3 linked regions of the Tamandua tetradactyla genome follow. The protein of the gene in region 1 purifies or fractionates together with the protein of each later gene. This does not show direct contact. Links are inferred from orthologs where the notes say so. Each region holds a gene or a part of one and is shown on either strand. Other genes may lie near its edges.

Region 1 (3,747 bases):
GATGAAAGAATAATAATAGTTTGCAGAAGAAATGCCATATATTTATTATAAGTTTTCTCAGCCGAAATTGTCATTAGAGTTTAAAAAGGCCCTGTTAGAGGGGGTACTTGGAAACTCAGTTCAGCTTCTCTTATTTCCACGCAGAGAAGCACTTGAATCAGGTGGTATTTAGTGTCCCACACCTCTCAGCACGATGTGAAAGAAAGGTCAAGGGTTTTGCAGCAGGATAACTAAGAGGTTATTTTGGGGGTCATGTCTTATATGTAATTATTTATTAACTTCAGGCTCCACAAGCGTTCACTGGACCTCTGTAGTCCCAAGACCCAGCCCTCACTTGTGCACGCAAGTCCAGCGGCGCCTGGCGCGCAACAGGCGCTCAGCGAACAAACGCGCGCGGAAGGCGCAGCCCGGGGGGCAGAGCGCGCGGCCGCGGCTCACAGGCGCCGCCCAACCAGGCGCTTCCCGCGCGACCCGGCTCACCGACCTCGCCCAGGGGCGGGCCCGCCCCCTGCCGCCCGCGGGGCGGGACTTCCGGCCGCTGAAGTTTAACCGTCTAGGCGGGAGCCGGAAGCCCAGCGCAGGAGCGGGCCGGGCGCGGTGCCGGCTCTGCCGTCGTGTTGAGGTGAGGCGCTGGCGGGCCCGGGGTCCGCAGGCCGCTGCCCCCCGCGTGCGCGCCGCCCTCCGGCCATCTCACTCGGCGGGTCGAAGGCCCCTGGACGCCGCGCGCCCAGCCGGGCGAGGGTTGCGGGCCGTGGCCGGGCGGGCAGGGGCGCGGCGGACGCGATAGTGCGCCCGACGGGGTGCGGGGCCGCGACCCGGGTCCCTCGCCTCCGCCTGCGTGACCTCCGCTCCGGTCCGGGAGGTCGCTGGGGTCCCCTGTGGGGCGGAGGAGGGCAGCCCCGGGGAGCGCGCTGTCTCCGCAAAGTTTGGCCCTGTCCTCAAGTGTGCCCGGCCCCCGCGAGCCTCCCGGTTACGACCCACCTGGGTGCATGTTCCGGGGAGCGGCAGCTGAGTAGTTCTGCGCGTCAGCTGCGGTTTTGGCGAGTCAGAGTTGGAGAACTTTGGTTCGGCTTGAGGATTGCGGGGTGATTTCATTTAGCTGCCACCCCCAGCCCGGGGCCATGTGTCGTCGCCTGTCCCCTGTGGGACCCTCGTGGACAGGTGGCTGTAAAGCCCGGCCGCCTGCGCCCTACTTCCACAGAAAGAAACGGGCCTTAAGTGACCGCCCAGGTCACTGCCCCCTCGCTCCAGGCCGGTCCCTTGGAACCCGGGTTTTCTGAGTCCTGACTCAGTTCCACTACGCCACGGTCAACAGGGATGGTGTAGAGTTGCTGAAGAGAGATCTTTCAGTTGTGTTTACTTTGCCTAGAGATCCCCGTGCCAGCACTTGACTGTTCCTTGAGTAGAGGACCCAGAGGGCACCTGTTTAGGCACGAAGTCCAGACCCTGTGTGTCTGCAGGTCAGCAGGCCACTGCCTTAGTAGCACTCGCTAGCTGATGGGTGCAGCGTGGTGGTCACCTGAGCCAGTTTCTAGTTTAACAAAAGTTAGCCTTTTTTATAAGCACCTAAGGTTTTTTAATTTCTCTTGAGAATGAAAGCAGTCTTTAATGTATGATGTTTGTTCTCTGAAATGGGGCATAGTGAACATAAGAGTGATATTTTATTGATGACTTGGGGATCTGTCTGACATCAGTAAGGCTATGCTGTGCTCTCATGCTTCCTTACCCGGAATGTCGGGTGTGCTGTGTATTTCTGTACCTCCACCCTTCCCCTTTCTCCCTCGCACTTTTGAGTGGTTTTTCCTGACCTGTCTTCTGTTAAACTTGTTGCACTTTAAAGTGTCTGCCTAGAGCAGCTCCCCTGCCTTCTGTCTGCGGTTTGGGAAATCACTGTTATGATTATGTGTTTGTGAGGGTATTGTAGACCAAGTAAATGCACCTCTTTTAACTGTATTTGTGAATTTGCAAGTTGTTTGGAAAACGGGAGTGACTGGACTCTGGCCCCCAGGAGTGTTACAGTTTGTTCTACCCCTTTTTTTTTCTTTCTTAATAAGAGAAGTTACCTAAGTAATAATTATTTGTTGAGTGCCTACTGTGTGTCAGGAACATTTCAAGACTCAAGTAGTAAGCAGGTCCTTCCCCTTGGGGATCTTTGTTTCAATCAAGTCTGGGAAGGAAGACATTATTAGGAGAACAAGTAAGAATCTCAGATAACGATAAATGCCATGAAAAAAATGACGTGGAGTAGTGGGATAGAGGATTACTGATCAGGTGCTGCTGTAGCCCTGGTCAGGGAAGGCCTTTTTGAAGAGGAGACAGTTGAGCTCAGCAGATGAGTTGAGGTGTGAATAAGGAGATGGCTATGAGAAATCTTTGGGAAGATCATTCCTGGTAGAGAGGGTAGCAAATGCAAAGACACTGAGGTGAGAACGACCTCAGCTTCAGCTTGTTACATGAAACAGAAACAAGGTGTGTCTGGAGCCTGGTGAACCTGGGGGAGAGTGATAGAACAGGTACCCTGGGGCCCGTGAAAAAGGTTGGCTGTCATTATAACTGCTATGGGGAGTCACTGGGCAGGTCAGTTAGGAGACTGTGATCTGGTTCGTGTTTTAGAAAGATGATTCCAGCTGCTTTTGGTGAGTTCACCATAGGGGACAATAGAGCCACTCCCCACCCTGCCCCTCACCTCTCAGTTGTTTTTAATATATGTTGTTTTAAACTATTTGTAGGTGCAGTCATGCAGGAAAACCTCAGATTTGCTTCATCCGGAGATGATATTAAAATATGGGATGCTTCATCTCTGACTTTGGTGGATAAGTTCAACCCGCACACATCACCAAATGGAGTAAGCTCAATATGTTGGAGCAGCAATAGTATCCTTTTACCAAAGATAAACAGTTTACTATACAGTACATCAATCAGGTGCATTCTTGAATCTATTCTGTTAGATTTCGTTGTAAAACATTTACATTTCAGCCCACTTACATTGAAAAAAAAAAGCCACCTTAGGTACCAGAATCTAGACTGTAGAGTTAATTATGTTATCAACTGTTAATGAATCAAATGGAATAATGTAATGGTGGGGGAAACTTCCAAAAGGTTTTGGGCTGAACTTTTGCATCTACATATGGGTATTTATGTATCTAGTCTGGAAATTAAAGACAGAAATAAAGCAGAAGCAAAGGTTGTCCAGCATTCCATCTTGCTGATGTACTCATTTATTTCTCTCCAATCTGTGATGAAAATAACCTCATTTCTTAAATAGAGTGAAATTCATGTTCACATTGAATTTTCCTAAGCTTTTTTATGTTTCTTTTCATGCCCTCCCTGTTTTAGTGAACTCCTAAGTGTGGATAAAATAAATAAGGGGAGTGAAACCAGGGTTTCTTAATCTTGACACTGTTGACATTTTGGGCTGATTAATTCCTTGTTTTAGGGGCTCTCCTGTGCACTGTAGGATATTTAGAAGCTTCCCTGACCTCTACCCAGTAGTCTGCAGTTATGGCAACCCAAGTGTTTCCAGGCATTGCCGTAGTTCACCTGAAAGGCAAAATCACCCCTGTGAGGACCACGGCTGTAAACCAAGGACTCATTAGTTTTTTTTTTTTTTTTTTACATGGACAGGCACCGGGAATCAAACCCAGGTCTTCTGGCATGGCAGGCGAGCATTCTTGCCTGCTGAGCTACCGTGGCCCGCCCAACTCATTACTTTTTATATAAAAATGTTGTATATACTTGGTATGCTAG
Region 2 (3,747 bases), on another chromosome or scaffold:
TGAACGCTGCGTGTCCCTGTCTATGAACTTGGAATTATCTGTTCTGCTCCAGCTGAAAATATTCTCCCAGACAAGGGATAACAAATGTTTTGGTTTTAAAAGCAAGACTTTTGAGAGGAAAGTTATTTTTAAGGGAAAACACACACACACAAACGTTGTTTTGTTTAAGGATAATCCAGAATAGTCTTATTCACATGTAGAAGCTCCTGCAATCCATTTAAATTTGACCAATAATATTTTCTTAGTTATGAATACAAACTATTCTTGAAAGAACCTATTTAATCCTAAACTCATTTTAGGTGATAACAAGTGACAACGGCAGTTACATTTTCACGGAGCATGCATGACACATACAGAGAGTCTTGAAGCATTTTTATAGTGCCACTTTTCCAGCTCAGGGAAACTCATACACACTATCAGACAACCTCAATTTCCTTGCCTACGATCCGTGGCCAAAGATGCATAGGGAAGAGTTGCAGTTTTAAGCGGCTTTGAAACGGGTGAAATCTTACAATCATTATTTCATAACTGTTTTTTAAAAGCTTGTAATTTTTTTTACAAGTTGCAGCTTTGGAGGCTCTTATTGACGCTCTGACTTCACAAATTCCCCTGAGAGAAGGCAAATCTAATGCTAATTCAGATCGCTCAAACTTGCTTTTTATCCCACCTATGGATACTCCTCTACTCCAACAATAATTACCAAAACCTTTGAAGACAGTCTTAAAACCGCACTTGAGCAAACAAAAGACGTGATGGCCTTAAGGGGACACAGCTTTTCCTAGCTAAAAAGAGGAGCTGTCGACCACCGTGAACGGCTCAAGATGTCATCAAAAGTCCTGCCAAATGTCCGGGACAACGCGGCGGGAGCAGGTGGGAAAAAAAAGAGAGAAGATAGCTGGAAGGCCCAGGGGAGAACTGGGGTGCCGAAACCGGAGGCGGTAAAAGATGAAAGAAGGTGAGGCAAAATTAGGTACAGGAAAAAGAAAACGGGAGACGAGAGGGAGAGCTCTAAAGAAACCTGGCGAATAAGCGATTCGGAGAGTTTCCAATTTTCTCACCAAAAAGCTGCGTTCAGCCCCAGGCACCACAGGGCACTCCGGGCTGGTCGTTCCCACACCAGGGCTGCCTGTACCCGGCTCAGCAAAGGCTCGTAAGGCCCCAGCACTTCCACCAGCGCCTGCTGCGCCGCTTCAACCTGCTGGTCCCGCTCCCGAGAGCCTGACATAGTGCGACGGCCCCTGAAATTCGGCCCCGAAGCTGGGCCTGGGGCAGCGGCCACCCCCTCAACCTCCGCCATCTGCCCCAGGCAGCCACAACATCCGGGGCCACACGGCCCGACAGTCACAATAACATCAACTGCGCAGTCGCGCTATTCGGCGGGAGAAGCCGCTTCCCTCCACAGCGCTTGCGCAAAGCCTCAAGTACGCGACCATCCAGAGGAAAGGAAGGACGCTGCGTCAAGCGACGCCCTCAATGCCAAAGTTCTCAGAGCCCGATTCAGAGCCGCGCACGCGTAGTCTGCATTGCTGAAGCCGTAGGAATAAGGAAGAGCTAGCTGCAGAACTCAGTTCTCATTGGAGCGCAGAAAGTTCATGGGGCGGGAACGGGGAGGTTGGGCGGGGGAATGGTTATTTGGCGCCTGCGTCTTGGAGCCAGCGGGCTGGCGAGTGGAGGTGTCGCTGGCGATAGCGGCTACAACGCCGGTACTTGAGGAACGATGCCGAGGGAAATCATCACCCTGCAATTGGGCCAATGCGGCAATCAGAGTGAGCGAACCTTCGGCCCCTCCACCAGCCGGGTTCTTAGATTTTAGGATCTCACTATGGGATCCTAGACTCAGTCCCCCCTTCCCAAAATCGTCGTTCTCCAAAATGCGGGGCGTCCCTGACCTGGTGTCCAGTTGCCCAACCCCGAGGGGCCCTCCTTGTTCAGTTGCTCTTATACAGCACCCACAGCCCATATCTCAGACACGGGCGAATCCTGAGACTTGACTTAATATCCTTGACTCAGACGCCCAGTCCTCCAGCTCTTAACTGGAACCTGCCTAGACCCACAGGCTCTTTCCGACACCCCATGCCCCTCTCCCCAGTTGGGTTCGAGTTCTGGAAACAGCTGTGCGCGGAGCATGGTATCAGCCCCGAGGGCATCGTGGAGGAGTTCGCCACCGAAGGCACTGACCGCAAGGACGTCTTTTTCTACCAGGTGCCCCCAGCGACTTGGCCAGGGCCGCCGTGGTTCAGGGGTCCTGAAGGGAAGGGCACTGGCCTAGGATCTGGAAACCGGCTGGCAGAAGGGCCAGGGCTTGAGGAGGGAGGGCAGGCAGGAGCCAGGGTTGGGCGGTGGGAGCACTGGGCAGGCCCCAGCTGACTGAGTCCCGGCCTGGACTCCCCTGGTCAGGCAGATGATGAGCACTACATCCCGCGGGCCGTGCTGCTGGACCTGGAGCCCCGGGTGATCCACTCCATCCTCAACTCCCCCTACGCCAAGCTCTACAACCCAGAGAACATCTACCTGTCGGAGCATGGTGGAGGAGCAGGCAACAACTGGGCCAGTGGATTCTCCCAGGTCATTTACTATTCCTTGGCAGGGCCCACAACTCTCTCCTTGTGTGGTGACAGCCCTGTGACTTCCCAGAACTAGATCTGGGATGTATGTGTGCTGGAGGGTGATAGATATGGCTGAGGGAAGTTCAGTTCTTTTTAAGTTAATTATGTAATCTTAAAAGCCTACTCTAGCTAGTGCTCTGTGCCAGGCATCTAAGAGCTGTGCTTATATTAACTTATTTAAACTTCCAGCAGCACTATGAGGTAGATACTACAGGTCCACAGTCTCTTGTCTGCCTTTCCAGAGTCCTAAAAATCTGAAACCAAAAGTAAATCTCATAACTCATTTAGCAGCAAACCTAAAGCTCAGTGGAGATGAAGTTATTTATGCATTCTATTCAACATATCATGAATACTCAGACCTTTCATTGCAGAAATATTAATGTATTTGATTAAATGCCTGAGACCCCCACTATAGGTATATATCATATGTATCATATCTCCTTCCTAAAATTTGACATATTCTACATTCTGAAACATAACTGGACCCAAGGATTTTGAATAAAGGGCTAGTGCCCTTTATTATCACTTTTCATTTACAAATGAGGAAACTGAGGCATAGAGAGTTTAAGTAACCTGCCCAGAGTCACTCAGATAAATAAAAAAAGAGCTAATATGTGAAGCCAGGCAGTCTCAATATGAAATGCCTGCTTGTAACCACTGGACTGTACTACCTCTAAATATAAATGAAAAATGGACCAGTGGCTCTCTAGAAAAGAACTTTGGGTGCTGTAAAGAAAATCGGGGGTGGTTATTCTGAGGTCAGAGTCCTTGTCCTTTCATTCTGTCCCGCTCTGACTCCATGGCTCTACAGGGAGAGAAGATCCATGAAGACATTTTTGACATCATAGACAGGGAGGCAGATGGCAGTGACAGTCTAGAGGTGAGTGGTCCATGAAAGTTGGTGGGAACCAAGGTGGGGAAGGCTCAGCAACATCCTTAAAGAGCCACCTATTAGGCACAAGACCCTTTGCCCCAGGCAGAAACCACTGAGCCTTGCTGGAGATAGGACAGTCTCCTAAACTTGTGTGTGTGGCGGGGGCAGGGTGGGGGGGGAGGGAAGTGGAGGGATAAGAGTCTAAGAAATTGGTGAATGGGCCGTGTTTGAAATCCTGCCTCTAGAGATCTGGGCACTGACTCCCCC
Region 3 (3,747 bases), on another chromosome or scaffold:
CACAAGTGACTTTTTTTTTCTTTTGTGAAAAATAATGCATATACAAAATAGCAATAAATTTCAAAGCACATCACAACAATTAGTTGCAAAACAGATTTCAGAGTTTGGTATGAAACATTAAAAATATTACATTAAAAAAATATTTCTAGACCAACACTTAAATCCTGAGATTCATTTTGCCTAGTATGACATGAAGAGCTGGTGTTCCTTACTGAAGTGGCCTGGCTACAAACAACTTTGTCTGACACACACTACCACGTGTGAGAGAAATAAATGAGCTAATCTACATAAAATCATATACCACAACAGCATATCATAAAGATCAATAAATGTGGCTGTTATTTCCAATATGCCCAATATATAAAAGTTCATATTTCGAGTTATACTGAGACATATGCAACTTTATGAGACCAGAGAAATTATCAAATATAAGAGGCATAAATATGGATTAAATAGGCTGGTGTGATACAGTCTTGGACTCATGCCCCATTCATGATGGCCTTCCTACCAGAATATATGTTCAAAGTTTTAGACTGGCCAAGGGGATAATTTCTGGAAAACAATCCATTGTGAGCTTATAGAAAGATCCAAGAAGCAAAAATAAGTACTGCACTCTGGTCTAGACAGTTTCACTAACTAACAATGCCCCTCTACCCTGTCACGTCCCCTCTATTAGCTACAAATGGTCACATTTATAAAAATGGGAAGGCATATCTAGACTGTCTTTAAGCTACCTTAAATGTCTCATGTTCTTTGCCTGCTTATATGTTTTTATCTCCTTTCCCTAATTCTGACACTAATGTGAGAGAACCAATAACTACTGTAAAAGTTGAGGAAAACACACAAACTCAGAGGACACTTGTGCATGTGTCACTGACAAACCTGCTATCCAGGACAGTACAGATATCCCTGCCCCTACTGGTTCCACAGTACTCCTCTCCTGAATATACTTCCATATTTCTTGCTGAACTTAAAATGCCAATAGAAACGACTTCTTCACCGCCATTAGGATCACACTGCAGGTATAGGAAACAGGGGTTTTCCTCTTGGCTGTTCAGTTTCCTCTTCAAAATTACCAGATCCTGGCTAAAAAGAAAATTGTTAAGAATATTACACAGTATAGTTCTTTGAACACTTCTCATGAATATATACACAGTATAATTCTTTGAACCCTTCTCATAACCCCTGATTAGACCATTTTTCTTCCTCCTTCACTTTCATTTGCCCTTGAGGTCCAACCATCTTGCTGAGCACCTAACAAAGGCTCGATACAGAATTCACAAAGACATGGCTGCTTTAGACATCAGGGCTTTCCCCTCCTTTTTTCCCCTGACCATCTGCATTCTACTCAGGTCCCTCTAATTGCTGCCATTGCAACCTACCCTCGGCAAAGCAGCTGTAGGCAGAAACGAATAAAGGACAAAAGTCTTATCTTTTTCAAACTTACATTGGTGGAGATTCTCCCTAGCAGGGTCTTTTTCTTAAAGCCTGTTTTGGTGGAAGTGGTTTTTACCTGTTGGTTCATTTGGGGAGCGAGGGGATTCTGACTCTGACAGGAGCCCCGATGAGCCCTGGTGACCGAGTGTTCAGGTCACCTTCCCACCCACCCCCGACACCCTCCCTCCCCGCGTCCTGCGGGGACCCCGGCCCCGCCCCCGCGCGGACCCGGACCTCACTCCAGCCCGCAGCCCGCGGTTAGGCTTCCCCCTCGCGCGCTCCGTTCCCGGATCCCGGGCCCAGACCCTCAACCCCTCCCGGTCCCTCTGTCCCTTACGGCCCCTACAGGAGCGTGGCTGTCACAGGGCGCAGCTCCCCAGTCCCAGCCGGCCCGGCTTACCTCAGAGCAGGCGGCGCCAGCAGCTCTTCCCTATCGAAATCCGTGGGACCCAGGCCATCCCGGGTGAGAAGGAGGCTGCGGGGCAGGGCTCCGCACGGGGCCTCCCAGGAAGAGGCCAACATCGGGCGGCGAGTCAGTCTCCGGTCCTCCATCCCTGTCTCCATTTCGCCGCCTCCACCCCAGGCCAGATCCGGAACCTTTCTTTCAGTGCTTGAGTTTCCTGCAGTGCGCATTTGGACAGAGGAAGCAGAGCAACTTCCGGCTTGTTCTGCCATCGACCAAAGCACGCCGCCTGCCTCTGACTGGGAAGGATGGACAGGCGAGTGCGGATACCCAGCTACCGTAAACACGCACGCGCATGCCCCGCCGCTTCAGGAACGGCGTCAAGAGCGGCGAAGAGCGGCGAGCCGGCGCAGCGGCGACACCGAGGCCTGCTGGGGGGTCCTCTGCGCAGGCGCCGCGAAGGACGCGCGGGAACGTGGTCTCTTTATCCGGGTTGGCCTCGGAGCAGAGGACACACCTGTGCCCGGCGGTTGCTGACGGTTCGGCTCCCAGGACAGGATCAGTCTTGAGGCATGTGGCCTTGGCCCTCCACGCGGCCTGGAAGACTTCGTCCCCAGCTGCGTCCTTTTTTGTTCGTTTTCTTTCTTCCTTTTTTTTGTATGCTGTGCGGTGGGGGACACAGTTCATTCGTTTCCACGTGAATATCCCGTTATGGCAGCACCATTTGTTGACAAAAAAAAAATTTTTTTTGGAGTGCTTGGGCCGAATGGGACAGGGTCTCCGCATCTGCCATTATTTCTTGAGTGGATGGCAGAGACTTGTTCCAGTGTGCAGCCAGTAGGGCTGTGCCTCTGCTGCATTTGGGATGGCCACTGGCCGGCAGGCTACTGTTTTTGGGTTATTTTTACCTTTCACTTTCGCAGACACACTCTTTCCCCTCCTTATCCCCCCAGGGGGGTTGAGATTTGCCCCTAACACGGGGAAGATTTAGTGCCCTTGACTGGGCATGTTTTGCAGCGGTAGGTGGTCTGAAGAAGCTTTTACCTGGGCCTTTAGGATGTTACCAATTTAGCTTGAGGCATGAATGCCATAATAACTGAATGGAGGCAGGGGTGACCTCATACTACCAGCCTCTGGTGGTTTCTGGTAGCCAGAGTTGGACACTTTGCATAACAGAAATCAGAGAGTCGTGAAAGATGTGGGTGGAAAGGGGAGGGGCTGTGCTGCATTGTCCTCCTGCCATAGGGAAGCATGAACAGCAGCAGGGCCTGGAATTTCTGTGGATGTAGAGCTGAACCGAGATTGAAGGACCTTTTGCATGTTGGAAACGGAAAAGTGGAAATGAGATGGAACTTCCCAGATTGCTTGTGGACTAGGAAGGTAGATGACACCTGTTTCTGTTTGCTAAAGCTGCCAGAATGCAATATACCAGAAATGAATTGGCTTTTACAATGGGAATTTATCTTCTTAGAATTGACAGTTCTTAGGCCATGAAAATGTCCAGCTCAAGCCATCAATAGTATGATACCTGGACTCGGAAGAAAGGCTGCCGGTATCTGAGACACCTCTGTCACATGGGAAGACACTTGCTGGGCATTAGTTGGTCCTTTGTTCCTGGGTCTCGTTGCTTTCAACTTGAGTCCAGTGGCTTTCTCCTTGAGTGTTTGTGGGTCCTTAGCTCCTCTGGGGCTTTTCTTTCTCAGGCCTCTCAGTGTTTAACTCTTTAAGCTCTCTCTGGGTGTTTCTCTCTCAGCTCTTAGGGCTTTTTCTGTCCTTCATCATCTGTAAAGGACTCCAGTAAAGGATTAAGACCCACCTTGAATTGGGCCGGTCACATCTTAATTGAAGCAACCGAATCAAAAGGTCCCATCCACAATAGGAATGGATTTTAAAATCCCACAGGAATG

What was found.
Region 2: the proteins of NEDD1 (region 1) and tubulin gamma-1 chain purify together in Homo sapiens (affinity purification with mass spectrometry; 5 studies listed by BioGRID and IntAct, with this or other methods). This does not show direct contact. The link is inferred for Tamandua tetradactyla from reciprocal best matches to the Homo sapiens genes NEDD1 and TUBG1.
Region 3: the proteins of NEDD1 (region 1) and C13H10orf88 purify together in Homo sapiens (co-immunoprecipitation; 3 studies listed by BioGRID and IntAct, counting the BioPlex papers as one, with this or other methods). This does not show direct contact. The link is inferred for Tamandua tetradactyla from reciprocal best matches to the Homo sapiens genes NEDD1 and C10orf88.

Annotation. Positions count from the first base shown.
Region 1 is NC_135333.1:166,928,751-166,932,497, forward strand, and holds the start of NEDD1 (protein NEDD1), read left to right. Parts: upstream 1-899; 5' UTR 900-2,617; coding exon 2,618-2,636; intron 2,637-2,729; coding exon 2,730-2,873; intron 2,874-3,747. UniProt on the Homo sapiens protein: Required for mitosis progression. Promotes the nucleation of microtubules from the spindle.
Region 2 is NC_135332.1:24,615,622-24,619,368, reverse strand, and holds the start of tubulin gamma-1 chain, read left to right. Parts: upstream 1-1,305; 5' UTR 1,306-1,717; coding exon 1,718-1,766; intron 1,767-2,089; coding exon 2,090-2,202; intron 2,203-2,397; coding exon 2,398-2,565; intron 2,566-3,417; coding exon 3,418-3,486; intron 3,487-3,747. Other genes in the region: RETREG3 (reticulophagy regulator 3), read right to left, coding at 1,059-1,297. UniProt on the Homo sapiens protein: Tubulin is the major constituent of microtubules, protein filaments consisting of alpha- and beta-tubulin heterodimers. Gamma-tubulin is a key component of the gamma-tubulin ring complex (gTuRC) which mediates microtubule nucleation.
Region 3 is NC_135339.1:85,541,166-85,544,912, reverse strand, and holds the start of C13H10orf88 (ATPase PAAT), read right to left. Parts: upstream 2,196-3,747; 5' UTR 2,113-2,195; coding exon 1,838-2,112; exon of another isoform or gene 1,833-1,837; intron 1,087-1,832; coding exon 883-1,086; intron 1-882. Other genes in the region: uncharacterized protein LOC143654403, read left to right, coding at 2,196-2,471. UniProt on the Homo sapiens protein: ATPase that regulates mitochondrial ABC transporters ABCB7, ABCB8/MITOSUR and ABCB10. Regulates mitochondrial ferric concentration and heme biosynthesis and plays a role in the maintenance of mitochondrial homeostasis and cell survival.